Danio rerio: one gene and its partner. The protein of the gene in region 2 binds, or shares a complex with, the protein of the main gene of each other region. Links are inferred from orthologs where the notes say so. Each region holds a gene or a part of one and is shown on either strand. Other genes may lie near its edges.

The links. Proteins that work in one complex are often made in the same cells at the same time.
Region 1: the proteins of gins4 (region 2) and gins2 are in contact, whole or in part, in a crystal structure (PDB 2E9X), measured with the Homo sapiens proteins. The link is inferred for Danio rerio from reciprocal best matches to the Homo sapiens genes GINS4 and GINS2. Residues at the interface, in NP_115712.1 of Homo sapiens: Pro23, Ala24, Ile27, Glu28, Glu31, Trp34, Met35, Lys38, Phe39, Gln57, Met61, Leu73, Lys74, Ser76, Ile77, His78, Met80, Glu81, Arg84, Ile85, Tyr87, Val88, Ser91, Asp166, Asp168, Ser169, Tyr170, Val171, Phe172, Val184; in NP_057179.1 of Homo sapiens: Met1, Glu5, Phe8, Leu9, Glu11, Lys12, Phe21, Leu23, Asp24, Lys25, Ile26, Tyr27, Leu28, Ile29, Gly30, Trp47, Leu48, Asn51, Leu52, Arg55, Lys57, Phe135, Gln139, Glu140, Ala141, His142, Ala143, Lys144, Leu145, Asp146.

The regions. Positions count from the first base shown.
Region 1 is NC_133193.1:32,034,929-32,042,943, forward strand, and holds the end of gins2 (DNA replication complex GINS protein PSF2), read right to left. Parts: intron 6,256-8,015; coding exon 6,129-6,255; intron 1,825-6,128; coding exon 1,708-1,824; 3' UTR 1,466-1,707; downstream 1-1,465. UniProt on the Homo sapiens protein: Required for correct functioning of the GINS complex, a complex that plays an essential role in the initiation of DNA replication, and progression of DNA replication forks.
Region 2 is NC_133183.1:62,248,752-62,256,766, forward strand, and holds part of gins4 (DNA replication complex GINS protein SLD5), read left to right. Parts: intron 1-3,475; coding exon 3,476-3,562; intron 3,563-3,679; coding exon 3,680-3,793; intron 3,794-3,994; coding exon 3,995-4,092; intron 4,093-5,483; coding exon 5,484-5,572; intron 5,573-8,015. UniProt on the Homo sapiens protein: Required for correct functioning of the GINS complex, a complex that plays an essential role in the initiation of DNA replication, and progression of DNA replication forks.

The sequences.
Region 1 (8,015 bases), on a different chromosome or scaffold from region 2:
AAGCAATAATATTTATTACAAAAATAAGACTGCTTATCGGGATTAAGACAGACTTAATTTCGTACAGGAATAACAACGCAATCTGTGCATTAGAATAATCTTTTATTTACTTTGCTTGACGAAGATGTATTTCTTTTTAGCTGCGTAAGGCTTAAATAAAAAATGTGTTTTTAAATGAAGATAAGAGTTTGATCAAAGGTTAAAGAAAACTGAAAGGCTACAGTGCTTCATGTTTTCCTTGTGAATTTCCCACTAAATACTGGACAATAGGTGGAATGGATTACTTGAAATTGGCGAAATTGATCACACTGGATCTGTATGTTGTGTGGCAGGGAGTGGTCGTCCATGAACTGACTGCACAGTTGAAATTATCTTCCCTGTCGAAGACATGGTACTGAGCCAAGAGGCAGAAGAAGGTGCTAATGAGGTGATATAAATCAGGTAAGGTGGAAAACATATAATTTAACATCTAATTATAAAATATAATTAAAAGTTGAAGGTAGTTTTACAATTCTGACAGAATTCATTTTACTTGGATTTTTTTTGAGACACTGCAAACAGTTGAAGTCAGAATTATTGAAAACATCTGCTCTCCGTTAAACAGAAATTGCAGAAAAAAATAAACAGGGTCCAATAATTCTGACTTCAACTGTATATCAAAATGTAATATTTCCATAAATTGTTAGACCCTGCAACTGGTATTGGCATGTATTTAAATTCATATTTGGGTAAATGATTTGTTATTTAATGTACTTTTAACTCATGTTGCATTAATGTTGAAGGCTAACTGAAAAGACTGACAATGCCCTTGAAACATCTGGGTCCTAGATGCGACAGACAACACGACACAATAAAATAAGCATTTTAAAAATTCTTCAATTACTTGTTTTATTTTTTTGCTGAATAACTTGTATACCAAATACAATATACTTGTTGTATACCAAAAATGTCTGTAAACAAGTAAATGAAGCTAGCAAATGTATGGATTTAAAATACGCTTTGCTCAGTGCACAACATGAGATGCCTGCTTTTCTGTTCTATAGGTCATGGAAATTTAGCTTTTGGTCAGTTAAAAGTCATGGAACAGTCAGGAAACTTGAAGATTGGTTTTAAATGTGAGCCCTGCTCACTGATAAGTGGGTTTAGTTGTAATATTAGTTTTAGCAATCTCCTTATATGTTTTTTATGCTTGATGCATGCCAATAATTTACAGATGGTTTAAGAAATGAGAAGGTACTCTCTGCATCTGTTAGTGTTCAATAACTTAGTTAAGCTTAGTTGAATCCAGGTGGTGTCTATTTTCCAGGGATAAAAGCCCCAAACCGGTTTATCTTATAATATAAAGCAAAGCAACCAGGTCTTTTGAAAAAGCTTGAACTCTTTTGGTGAATTTGTGTTGGAGGGATGTCTCTGCATTGGGTGTTTCACATATTCATAAAAGAAATCACAACAATACAAGTATAAATTTAGGTTTATACATTTATTTAGTCAAATATAAACATTTTAGTAATAAAACACTACAACACACACAAACAGTAAAGGATTCTAAGGGAACATCAGTCACTATTTACACGCCGAGCGCCAGCAGTGGCCATTATTTGAGAAAAGATTCTGCTCTTAGTAATCTTTCAAATATCATTTGCAGAAGATAAAAGCAAACTTCAGTCTGTTGATAGGAGAGGAATGGCTGAAGTACCTGATCGTGTCTCAGTAGTCTTTACTTCTGCCCGGCTGCAGGTTTGAGCGCAGTTTATACATGTAGTTCAGAGAGTCCAGCAGAAACGAGCGTGTAGTGTTGATCTCCATTAGTGTGAGATTATCCAGCTAAAGACAGAATGAAAGGCCATCAATCGATCACGTTAAACATTTGATTAATACTGGGATTCATTGTGCACTTCTAAAGCGTGCTTTAACTCTAGGTTAAGTAACATTTTACACTTGTAATTAGGAAAGGTGGCTATTAATAGTGGAGCATGAAACTTTTCTAGAGTACAATCAAGACCAAAGTATACTTCAGCTGTTAGACACTGTGACAATTTTCATCACCATAAATCTGATAACAAATGTTTGCCGCTGAATGGTGCAGTTTAATGTTTAATTAAGTTTGTATTTTTGTATAAGTAAAAGTTGGTATTTACAGATATATTCACAGTGCACACACTTATTTTAAATACACATAGAAATGCACCAATATACAGTAGAAGTGAGAATTATTAACCCAAATGATGTTTAACAGAGCAAGGAAATTTTCACGGTATGTCTGATAATATTTTTTCTTCTGGAGAAAGTCTTATTTGTTTTATTTCGGCTAGAATAAAAAGTAGTTTTCATTTTTTTAAAGGTTTAAGTTCATTTTAAGGTGAAAATTATTAGCCCCTTTAAGCTATATTTTTTTCAATAGTCTACAGAACAAACGCAATACTTGCCTAATTACCCTAACCTGCCTATTTAACCTAATTAACCTAGTTAAGCCTTTAAATGTCACTTTAAGCTGTATAGAAGTGTCTTGAAAAATATCTAGTCAAATATTATTTACTGTCATCATGGCAAAGATAAAATAAATCAGTTATTATAAATGAGTTATTAAAACTATTATGCCTCCGGCACCTAGACTGCAGCTCTGCACAAGATGTTTGGCCAGTGGAGAAATGGTCATGCCCAGCTGAGCCTGGTTTCTCTCAAGGTTTTTTCAATTCTTTACTTTCGCCAATTGGTGAAGTTTTTTCCTCGCTGCTGTCGTCACTAGCTTGCATGGTTCGGGATCTTGTAGAGCTGCGCATAGATGGATTTGCTCTTCAGTGTTTGGACTCAGTATTGAATATTAAACCACACTAAACTGAGCTAAACTGAACTGAACTTAACCTCTGAAAACTGGACTGACACGGTTTTCATTTTACTATGATCTTATATGTGAAGCTGCTTTGACACAATCTACATTGTGAAAGTGCTATTCAAATAAAGGTGAATTGAATATAGAAATGTGTTGAAAAAAAATCTGCTCTCCGTTAAACAGAAATTAGGGGAAAAAATAAAAAGGAGGCTAATAATTGAGGGGGGCTAATAATTCTGACTTCAACTGTACATGTGTGTGTGTACACTTTAAAAATATGAACATATTCAGTTGTGCTCATGTTTTCATACCCCTTGAAAAATTTGTTAAATTGTGAATAATTTAAATATATATATATATATATATATATATATATATATATATATATATATATATATATATATATATATATATATATTTATATATATACACACACACACACACACACACACACACACACACAAATATACAAAGGCAAATATATATTTTTTATTTAGCACTGTCCTGAGTAACGTATTGCACATAAAAGATGTTAACATCTAGTTCAAATCTGCAAAATATACTAGAAAACAAAATAATCTGCAGGAGATGAGCTTTTCTGAAGAGCAGTCGTCACTTTTACTGTTTAGAACAACAAGAAACTCATGATCAACTGATGACCAACTCATGATCACAAAGCTGAAAAAGTGGAAATCACAGACAGTATTGAAAAAAAGGTCAGTCAAATTTTGCAGGTGTTTATTTTAATTATTTCAGCTAGTTTTGTCTAGTGACCTAAATGTAAACATTTTTTATATGAATTATCTTAAGGTTGATTTATACTTCTGCGTCAAACGTACCCGTATGCTACGGCGCTGACGCATAGCCCTACGCCGTGGCTGACGTGCACCCCTTTAAAAAAAATGTAACTACACGTCGCAACGACGCGTAGCGCAAGCTCTGTGATTGGTCGGCTTGGTAGTGCTGACGAGTCTGGGCGGGACCGAGAGCCGCGCGAATGGCGCAAGACGGTTGGAGCGATTGATTACAAGTGTGGAGTCCCATGAAGGAGCTCCGAATGGAAAGTTTTGTTTTGTGTTTACCTCATATTTAAAGTTTTTGCACATCCGCCGGTTCCTGCCTCAAAATGTGCGAGTTTGAGCCACTTGTACATTCTGGATGTGTTCAGCGTTTCGGAAGTGTTAATGCAGACCAACAGAGACAGCGCACAGAAGTATAAATGCACAGCTCCGCGCGTTGCATGTGCCGTGAGTTACACCGGTCACTTGACGCAAAAGTATAAACCAGGCTATTCTCTGAACAATACAACAAAAAAGCTACAATATATGTATTATCTTTCTGTTTTTATTAAAACTATTCACATTTTTAAGGGGTATATAAACTTTCTAGCACAACTTCACGTTTATATACAGAACAGACCAAAAGTTTGGACACACTTCCTTATTCAAAGAGTTTTCTTGACTATGAAAATTTTAAATTAACACATGTGGAATTATATACAGTATAAATTGCTAAATATAATTATTTGTCTATCAATACAAAAACACCTTTTCAATATCTATATATTTATACACACATCAGTGTGTATACTAATTAACAGTGTACACAAAATTACTATGTAAACATGCTTTCATTGTGTGCTATTAGTTGTGATTAATCGTAAATCAAAATTTTAGAGGTGTCATTAAAAAAAACAAAAAACCTTAAATCAAGTAAATAATTAACAACCAACAAGTTGCCGGTTCACTCCGCGGTGGCGACACCAGATTAATAAAGGGAATAGGCCGAAAAATAAACGAATGAATGAATAAATATGTGTCATTCATTTATTATTCATTTGTATTACACAAATGCTGCCAACCACTAGTGGGCAGTGTGGATCAGAATGTTATATTATTTGTCGATTCCATCTCTCCAATCATTCTACAGTATTTATTTCACTTGACCAAATAATTAAAACCTTAACATTTTAAATGCATTACATTTTCCCTAATCTTTTCCAAGCATAATCTCTTCAACATCACAGCGTTCACATAACTTATTCCTTCCTGTGTGTGCTGGAACCCATATAAATATGCTTGATTTTTCATTTTGAACTTAAGCGATTAATCAACTTTAAAATGAATGCTGTTGTTTACTGAATGTTGGGAAATATGAAAGTGTTTAGAAAATTAAATGTCAACCCTTGCATTTTTCCCAGGATTATTCTATATTTTATCGAACTAACATCCCGTTTCAATACATCTGCATAACTAAAATTGAAAAAGACTGCAATTAATTTAAACAATTCAGCCTATGATTTGTTTATATAAAAAACACAAACATTCCTATTAAACCTACTAAAGTTGTGTATGTAAGAATGTAAAAATGAAGATGTAGCATTCTGTCTTGAGTAACTTTATGATAGAATGCACAGAAATATGATAACCAGCTTTCATTGCCGTATGAGACATCATTAGCAGTGCATAAAATAAGCAGAACCAATATGGACATCGTAATATAATAACAATAATAATATAATAGCAAACCCAAGTCCCAAAGTGTCTTTTCAAACTTCTCAGATAATGTATAGAATTCCAAATATCCAAAGATTCATAAATCAAGAAGCATCTTTAAAGTAACGGCTATTTGACCCACCTGCCGCTGTACTATTAATTGTAATAACAGGAGGTGAATCAGAGTAAATGTCACAATAAAACAGTGCTGAAGAAAAAGTCAGTGAGTGAAGTTCCTAAATGAAAGCATTTAGTTATATATAATATTATTGGGTTGTGGATATTTTCAAAGTACACTTTTGAAATTGTTTGCATTTAAAGGTTAATTTAAGCTATGTTTTATATATTAAAGCTAACAGCATGCTTAATGCAAAAACTTTTATACAACAGAAAAGCATTGGACAACCTCTGCACAAAATATATGCAATATTTTCCCTCAAAGCTTCAAATGAAACCTAAAGTGACTTCACATTATTGTTTAGGATTTCTAAAAGTTGTTGTACATTCAAATTTCCTCAGCACTCACACACCCACCCACCCACTCACTCACTCACTCAAAGTGAACATCCGTAAATGCTGTGATAACGTCACATTCACCACATGCAACTAACCCAACTTGCAGAGTATGACCAGCCTTAAGCCTTCACCAATCAGGGCTGTCCACGTACAGTAAGTAAAAGCTTGTGAAAAGGAACCAAGCGAAGCTAGAAATCAGTCTTAGTGCAGGTTTACTGTGCACCTGACAGAGTATTGAGTGGTTTTGATCTACTCATCAGTTGGTCATGATAATTGTGGGGTTTTACCTGAGCGTGAGCTTCCTGCTGGCTGATGAAACTGTCAGCTGAAAGCCTCAGCTTAGCCATACGTGTATCCCAGATGTCCTTCACCAGCGTTCGAATCTCATCGGCTTTGGGAATGTTATCTGCAGCACTGAACACAAATATAATATTTCAATATACAATAAACAATATTATTAATTTCAAGTGCAAATATATGGACATGATCAATAAGCATGTGTCAGTGTTTTATAGAATACAGTTAAGACATGCTGATTTTCAATATTACCAAATGTATTTAGATAAAGAACATGCATGGTACGGCCATCACAAGCACTTCAAAAATAAAAGTTAATAATGATTGTTAAAACTTTTACAATGCTTGTAAAGAACATTCAGACTGTTGTATTTGCTATGATCATCACAGCACCAGGCCTTTCATTTTCAAACACTTAGAAAAAAAATTGCAGCTTTGAGTCCTGACACCAGCAGGAATTGTAGACATTTTTAAAGTGTATTTTTTTCTTTTCATTGAATTTTTGTCAAGTGATAAAACCAGAATGTTGTTAAATTAATATAAAATGACAGCTTTAACAACAGAGATGCATCACACCTGTAGTAGCCTAGCTTTGTCAATGGAGAGAAAAATATAGTAGAAAAATATAGCTCTTTGTTCATTTAGAATGGTAAAGTGCTTTGCTTGGGGGAGATTAGGATATATCAAGAGCCGCTTTTCCACTATCGTGCGGAATCGTTCTTTGTGCAGAACCGTTCCATTCCGTGCCAAACCGAGCCAGACAGCACAGATACAAGTGCTGCAACAAAGCTCTTTCAAAACATTACACAAAACGCATCAATAGTTGCCCTGGCAACACAATGTAAACGGCTCCCTTTGTTCAATTAAATTTAAATTAAATTTAAGACGAAACTAGTTTTTTCATGTTCATAAAAACGAAAGCAACCATGTGTCTAAACACTGTTAAGCCCCTCCATTATACAGGGCTGCTAAATATAGGTACATGTCACAGAACCCTTATTTATTAGAGGTATGTTGCGCGGCTCTGGATAAATTTTATTTAGAGAGAAAATGACCAAAATGTAACGTGATGATTGAAAATGAGTGGAGGGGAAATAAATAATATATTTAAAATCTCTGAACATAACAGAAAATTAAACAATGATAAGGCAACAATAATAGTGCATTTGTATTATAGTGGCAGAAGCAGGCACTTTCATAAATAAAAAATATAGCACTTAAATTGTTTCATTTTTGACAATCAATCAAATTACACAGTGGTTTTATATCAAAAGTTGATAATGATTTAACATATACTACATTTTGATGGTAAAATATAACCCTTTAAGTGATGGCTGCTATTTGTTTCAGTATTCAAACGTTAAATAACGAATGCAGCAAGTGAAATAAAAAAATTAATACGAAACAACACAAAGCAGGATATAAAGCATATAAAGGACTATTATATTTAGCAAAATGCTGCTCTTTTATCTTTGTATTTTTATCGTTTTATTTTTGTTATTTTTTTTTTTGTCTTCATAATTAACTAAAAAGCTGTAAGCAAATTCTTGCTTGACGTTTCAGAAAATATTTGCATAGCTACCCAGTATATATTACAGATCACAAAAAACACAGAAACATGTTACATGCCCCCATAAATGTCAAACTTATGTATAACTAAATCATAAAATGGCCTTTAGAAATGATAAAAATTGCTCATTTTATTTTTGTAAAACATTTGTCAAAAAGTACTGTTATTTTTTGAGTAAAAGCAATACCGACAATAAATAATCCATATTTTTTTATTCATTCATTTGACTTGTTTATTGGTGCATATATAGGCTATAATATAAATCATACAACGGTACCTTGGACAGATACAGTGCCACTCCGTAAAG
Region 2 (8,015 bases):
TCACAATATGAAAAAATGGTTAATTCAAATCCAAGACTTTTGAGTATGATGAGGTATTTCCAACTGAAACTGAATATTGAGTAGTGGGCGGGGCTTTAGTTTTGAGCATCATAGCCCCTTTCACACAGTGATACCGGTAAATATCCAAAAAAGATTTCCGGAACGACTTTCCTGGTAAATTCAAAAAAGCGCTGTTCACACAGGCGAGGACGTTACGGAATTTTTCCGGAAAAGAGCATTCACACATCCATCGCAAAATGCCGATAAATTCTGACATCATTAACCAGAAATGAGCTCTAAACGGCTGCGCTTGTGTTTGTAAACATTTGACTACATTACAAACTCTTTGGATGGATCAGAATCGAGTACAACTCCAATGAAAACATATAAAGGAAGACTTTCGCATGTCGAGATGTTCATGATATGTGTGTGTGCTGGCGCTATGGGCGCTCACGGGCACACGCAAAGCTTGAAGGTAAACAAACAACGGATTATCATAAACATTTTATCGATAATTATTTACACAGTTGGCATTAAGAAGAAACATAGAAACGTTATCTGACGAACATCTAGCAGCTAAAGGTGTCTGGAAAAATATTCAAAGGCTTTTATTCTCATAAACCGCGCGCACGTGAATGCGTCTGACTGTTCTGATTGGCTAAAGCAGGTATCTCACATCAGCACGTTCTAGACGTGCACGCGCTCTTTCCGGCAATTTTCCTTCTGCATTCACACAGCGCAGCATTCCGGCAAATTGCCGGTAATGTTACAACTTCTCTTTCCGGAAAATAGCCAGAACGAATTTACCGGTATTTTCAAAAAGGGCCTGTTCACACATACAACCTTTCCGGAAAATTGCCGGTAATTTTCCGGAAAGGTCTGTGTGTGTGAAAGGGGCTATTGCCTCGTAATGGTATGATGGGCAAGGTTAAAGTCCGTCAAAATCTACAATGTTTATTTTGCTAGCGCACACTTTTATTCTTTAGTTAATCCACTGAAAAAATAATATTTTTTTGTAATTAACCATTAAAATCTGGCATTTGGTTCAACATTTAGGGTGGAAGCAAATGGCAATTGTGGGCTTTGATTGAAGATATTTTTTAAACAGTGGGTTAACTAAAGAATAAGATTGTACATTTTGATTTCACGTGCACTTTAAGGGTGCTTTTACACCTACACTTTTGTTTGGGAACGTGTCTCGTTTGCCCAGTTAGCGCAGTTCGTTTGGCATATGTGAACAGGGCAATCGCGCTCTGTTCCGCGCCAAAGTAATCGCTCCGAGACCGCTTGAGTGAGGAGGTCTCGGCTCGATTAGAAAGAACCCTGGAGCGGTTTGATTGCAGTGAGAAAGTGATCCGATCCGAGCGCGGTTACATCACAGTGTTTTATGGATATGTAATAGGCTTACGGCTATATGAAGAGAGAATTATGAGCATGGCGGGAAGTTTCGCGAGTCTCCGGATGCCCGCAAACGAGTGATGATCTCCCGGTAATCTCGAGTCTCCCTCCCGGTCCTCAAATAGGCATCGTCACGCACCCTTCTCCCCCCTCCCCACTGCATCTCTCCTCAGACACGTCGCGCGTGCACCCTGTCAATCACCATCAAACCACCACCTCTCCTGACAGCTGAGCGGGACGCTGCAAATTAAACCCTCTGAGATAAACAAATCTCTGTTTCGGAACAACTGAATCGATTCACAGGTGTGAAAGCAGCCTAAAGCTGGAAGTTTCAGTACAATGATGTGTTTCCAACTGAAACTGAATATTGATTAGGGGGGGCGGAGTTTTATTTTTTGCGATGGTAGGGGGCGTGGCTTAGCACATTTTGCCCAAACCAAATTATTATAGTTAACCAAAACAAGTGAAAAGACAAAAACTAAAGGTTAAAATAATTTTCTTTCATTTTCTTGTCAGATTAGTCCCTTTATTAATCCGGGGTCGCCACAACGGAATGAACCGCCAACTTATCCAGCAAGTTTTTACGCAGCGTATGCCCTTCCAGCCGCAACCCATCCCTGGGAAACATCCACACACACATTCACACACACACACTCATACACTACAGACAATTTAGCCTACCCATTCTCCTGCATGTCTTTGGACTGTGGGGGAAACCGGAGCACCCAGAGGAAACCCACACGAACGCAGGGAGAACATGCAAACTCCACACAGAAACGCCAACTGAGCCGAGGCTCGACCCAGCGACCTTCTTGCTGTGAGGCGACAGCACTACCTACTGCGCCACTGCTGTAAACGCAAACCAAAATCGTCCCGGAGTGCAGGGGTCCGTTCTTCTTACCTCGCTTAAATGATCTAAGATGATTTGGCAGATCCTGGATCTTTTAATCTTGATAACTGATCTCTCGCTAATTTGGTTCTTCAAACAAGTTCGCAAATCAGATTAGAATGTCTGGATAAACTGATCTGAGATCGCTGCGTGTGTTGTAAAGGAAAGATCTATCCATCCTCGAAATCATGATCAGCAATGCAACGATTGGCTGACGGCACAGCAGCGTAATGACATCATCTGATTAATATTCAATTATCCATGTGAGCAAAATTACATCAAATTAGCAGTAAACGGCTTGTTAAATATGACACGCAATAACCTTCCACATTTGTTGTGAGCTGCAGGCTTTACACTTCATCATGTATTTCAATGCAAATCAATGTATTTAGTTCTACATTTAGAAAAGATTTTCTTTATTATAGTAGTTGTTTTTTTAATCGGTGTAAAGAATAACTGGTTGTTTACAAAAGCATTTTGATATTGGTAAAGGTGTCTGCAACTTTTGTGAAGCATCAAATCCATGGCATATTAACTATTAAAACATGTTTATGACTGCATAAATGTATTATTGCTTTAAAAAAAGTAACATATTCTGCATTTCTATTATACACAATTTGTACTAAAGCGATCTAAAAAGTTCATATCAATAAGTTTTCTCTTCGCACTACCAGGTGGCAGTCTTTGTACTTTCATTTCGAGGGTGCAGATTGCATAAGTTTTATTAATATGTATAACTTTATTTATTTTATTAATGACTATAACTTTATACATATATATATATATATATATATAGTTAAAAATATGTACCATTTTCCCAAGTGTATATAACTACTACTGTAAGAAAATATCAGAATTCAGAACATACTTTCTGTATTATATTTGCTTGAACTGAGCCGATCTAATCCTGTTTATATGAATTGAACCTGCTCCCGACCAGGTTTGACCTAGCAGAACTGTTGCTATGACAACAACTCTCGGATCAGCTTTGAAGAACGAAACGATCCTGGATCGTGTCAAATCATCAATATCCAAATCCAGCTAACTGAGTAATCCACGTACGAAGAACAGACCCCAGGAGCCTTTGCTCAAAGTACTCGTTAATGCTTAGTTTGAGGCAGTTTTAATGTGAGCATCATCACAGAGTAGATGAACAGTGTCTCCTAATGAGCGTCTCTTGTGTTTCAGGCTTGGCTCAATGAGAAGTTTTCTCCAGAACTGTTGGAGAACAAGTCTGAGCTGGTGGAGTGTGTGATGGAGCAGCTCACACACATGGTATGAGTCTGTCTGCAGTGTTTCTCAGTCTGATTAAACTTTGCGTGACGGATGTTAGCCTGTAGACGAGTCAGATTGACCGTTTCAGTATCGATCATGACTTGTGGTGTGATTTAGGAGGAAAACCTGCAGCGTGTGAGGAAAGGAGACCTGAAGGCCAGTGTTCACCGCATGGAGATCGACCGCATCCGCTTCGTTCTCAGCAGCTTCCTGCGCTCCCGACTCAAGAAGGTAAATCGAGCGTAATTTATTCAGAAAGACTGGCAGTACGCTATAGCGCATGTGTTTGGGACTGTGGGGGAAACACCCGGAGGAAACCCACGCCAACACGGGGAGAGCATGCGAACTCCACACTGAAACGCCAGTCGGGACTCACACCAGATCTGTTCTGTAGGCTGATGTTGTGTCCACGTCTGGTTTTCTCGTCTGCAGATCGAGAAGTTTTTCCCTCATGTTCTGGAGAAGGAGAAGTCCCGTGCTGATGGAGACCCCTCGTTCCTGTCTCCTGAAGAGTTCGCCTTCGCTAAAGAGTGAGTTCAGCGCAATCTGCGACTGTCGCACTGAGGATCTGTTCATGTCTGTCAGAGAGACGCTTCTGGACCGAATGATGAGGGCGATTGAGGACAGAGAGAGAGAGAATTTAAGTGTGTGTGTGTGTGTGTGTGTGTGTGTGTGTGTGTGTGTGTCTGTTTGTTTGTGTGTGTGCACGTCTGTCTATGTATGTGTGTGTCTGCATCTGTTTGTGTCTGTGTTTGTCTTTGCGTGTGTCTGTGTGTGTGTGTGTGTGTGTGTGTGTTTGTCTTTGTGTGTGTGGGTGTTTGTTTGTGTCTGTGTGTGTCTGTTTTTGTGTGTGTGTGTCTGTCTGTGTGTGTGTGTCTTTGTGCATTTTTGTTTGTGTGTGTACATATCTATGTATGTATGTATGTATGTATGTATGTATGTATGTATGTATGTGTGTGTGTGTGTGTGTCGGGTATGTATGTGTGTGTTTGTGTTAGTGTGTGTGTCTGTGTGTGTGTGTCTTTTTGCAATTTTGTGTGTGTGTGTGTGTGTGTACATGTCTATGTATGTATGTATTTGTGTGTGTCGGGTATGTATGTGTGTGTGTTTGTGTTTGTTAGTGTGTGCACGTCTGTCTGTATGTGTGTGTGTGTCTGTGTGTTTTTTGTTTGTGTCTGTGTTTGTGTCTGTTTGTCTGTGTGTCTGTGTGTATGTGTGTCTGGTATGTATGTGTGTGTGTGTCTGTTAGCGTGTATGTGTGTGTGTGTGTGTGTGTGTGTGCACGTCTGTCTATGTATGTGTGTGTCTGTGTGTTTTGTTTGTGTCTATGTGTGTTTGTGTCTGTGTGTTTGTCTGTCTGTGTGTGTGTGTCTGTCTGTTTGTCTGTGTGTGTGTGTGTGTGTCTGGTATGTGTGGGTGTTTGTTAGCGTGTATGTGTGTGTGCACGTCTGTCTATGTATGTGTGTGTCTGTGTGTTTTTTGTTTGTGACTATGTGTGTTTGTCTTTGTGTGTGTGTTTGTGTCTATCTGTGTGTGTGTCTTTGTGTGAGTGTGTGTGTAAATGTCTGTGTGTGTGTATGTGTGTATATGTGTTTGTCTGTCTTTGTGTGTATGTGTGTGTTTGTCTGTCTGTCTCTGTGCGTGTGTGAATGAGTGTGTACCTGATATCCATTACATTATGGGGACAATAAAATACAGCAATTCCAGTACATTTTGACATTGTGGGGACATTATTTTGGTTCCCTTGAGGAAAAGTGGCCCATAAATCAGACAGAATGAAGTATTTTGTAAGATGTAAATTTGCAGATTGTTTCCAGTGAGGGTGGGGTTGGGGAAGAGTAAATACAATAGAAACATCATTACATCTATGGTGAAGTCCCCAATAAACATGAAAACTCAATGTGTGTGTGTGTGTGTTCAGGTATCTGGCGAACACAGAGGTTTACCTGCGAGCCGTGGCTTTGAAACATATGCCACCAAACCTGCAGAGCGTCGACATGATGAAGGCCGGTGAGAAACACTTCTGTATTGAAATAGCCCCTATTATGCATTAAAAGGTCATGTTGTGGATTTGGGGGTCTCCAACAACAGGCTGATCTGCATATAGGGTCAAAAAACACCTTCATTGTCTTATAATATGCGTTTATTTTTACCTGATTACCTAACGACTCCCAGGTGATTCAATCAGTGATTCATTTTTTTTTCCCCCGAACAACGACTGTAAAAAATATGTGAACAAATATGCTCCCATTGAACGCCTTAAATGCATGACGGGCACAAACTGTCGCAAAACACTGCTGAAATTGGAGCATGCGCAATAGAACTGCCTGATGGAGCCAGAGGCGGAGCTGCAGAATCAAGCTTCCAATCAAATGTGTGTACGCCAAATCAACCACGCCCCCCGAACGTCTCACCTGACCGCCCGTTTCTGCACAATAACAAAGGCTCGCTAATTTAAATATAAGCACTTGCATTCAAACACATGTAATTATATACGATTTATTTGAAAACTGTGATGCAAGCTGTTATTAATAATTTAATAAAAATAATATCTGCTGGACTGCAGAAATAAAAGTTAGACTCCGCTATGAGCACACAAAATATTTCTCTTATAACGGGTTGTTGGTATTTGGCATCTTCATAGTGTCACGGTAGAGCGACCAAAACAGGAACAAAAAAAACGGGTGTAGAATCCAAGTGCAGTTTAATTGATGTATAGGGCAGTGAAAGTGACAAAAATACAAAGTAACAAAATAGCAAACTAACAAAACAAGAAACTAAGACAGATTAAACTCGAACTAGACTATAACAAGATACAAGAGCAAGGATCAGGAATAACATTAAAAAACGACAACGACCAACTGACAAACAGAGGATAAATGACTGAATATATAGTCCAGGTAATCAACGGAGAACGGAGACAGCTGTGGTTGTAAATCAGTGTAGATGACAGACCGGGTGTGTGCGCGAAAATATGTATGGAAATGTAGTTCTTTAGCCACTGTAGTTCATTGGGGGTTGCTGGCACCTGGTGGACAAACACAGTCATGACACAAAGGGGTAGAAAACTTGTAAAGTATGAAGAATAACATATCAACGACACATACATTTTTTAGAAAGGCTTTTGTTCTTAATTAGCAATCACCAGGACCCAAAATACACGCACCATGAACAGCTATTTACCATGCGGGAAAATCGTGTGTTTATATTAGAAACAGTGGCGTAGCGCAAAATGCGGAGTCCCCCTGCAGGGATCGCTGACGGGGCCCACTGATGAAGAGGGGGGGGGGGGATACGTCATACGCCAATTTGCATATCACTGACGTCATCACGTTTTACCGTTTCTGTTTGTTTTACACCCTATGGTTAATAAAGGGGTATTTATAATTGCACTACACTTTATATAAGCATGTTTATTAACTAAATGTATTGCTGTTTGAATACAGTATGTCATTATAGATGTGTAGTGAATGTGCAGTAATCTCTCATATGTAATAAACTCAGACAAATTCAGAAACTGTCACTAATATCTGTGATTGTTAAAATAAAGTAGAAGTAGATCGGTTTGACTGTACAAGGGAAATACCTTTACACTGCCTGTGCTAAATCATTTGTTGTCGGTACGCAGAGGGGTGATCTGCTCTCGGGCTGCAGATGAGAGAGGCTGCTGTAGAGGACTGACTGGGCCGCCTGTCAGTGCTGTGAGGCGGGGGAGGGGTCGGCGGCATCACACGCAGCTCGTTGAGAAGAGTAGGGACGGTACAGTATGGACAAATGACAGTCTAAAAAAATCTCCAATAACATACAAAAAAGTCGCTAGATTTGTCGTTAGGGGGTCTGAAAAGTCGCTAAATCTAGTGACAAAGTCGCTAAGTTGGCAACATTGGCGGCAAGCAATCAGAATGAAGTAGTCCACCGCTTGAGAGGTGTTTAGAGAACACAGACCTGTGAACTTTGGTTCCGACCACAGTTGTTCCCAAGAGTTTGATTATTGCGGTTGCCGGTTGATTTTCAATTATTGAAAATCGCGACGACGCGGGGCCCCCTAATCACGCGGGGCCCCCCCGCGGTGCGTGCCCTGCGGGCCCATCCGCTACGCCACTGATTAGAAAAGGATACAGCAAGATTTCTAAATATCAACAGGATATTTACACATCTCTGCACTATATAAAATAACCCTTTTCAATTTGTACAATAAACTATTGTACAAAATATTGCTGGCATATTGTTCGATTTTTTTTTTTTTTTTTTGTCTTTGCCTCCGTTTTCATTTGGTTTATTCAATGCCTTAATTATATCTGGCAAAGAGGAGTTTACATTCATTTGAATGTTTATTAGGAATTTTCAAATAAAAAGTCAACGGTAAATGGTGTGTATAAATAATACATGTAACATTTACAGCTTTTTTTTGTTATTTAAGATTCAGTTTCTAGAACATTAATACTTTATAAAT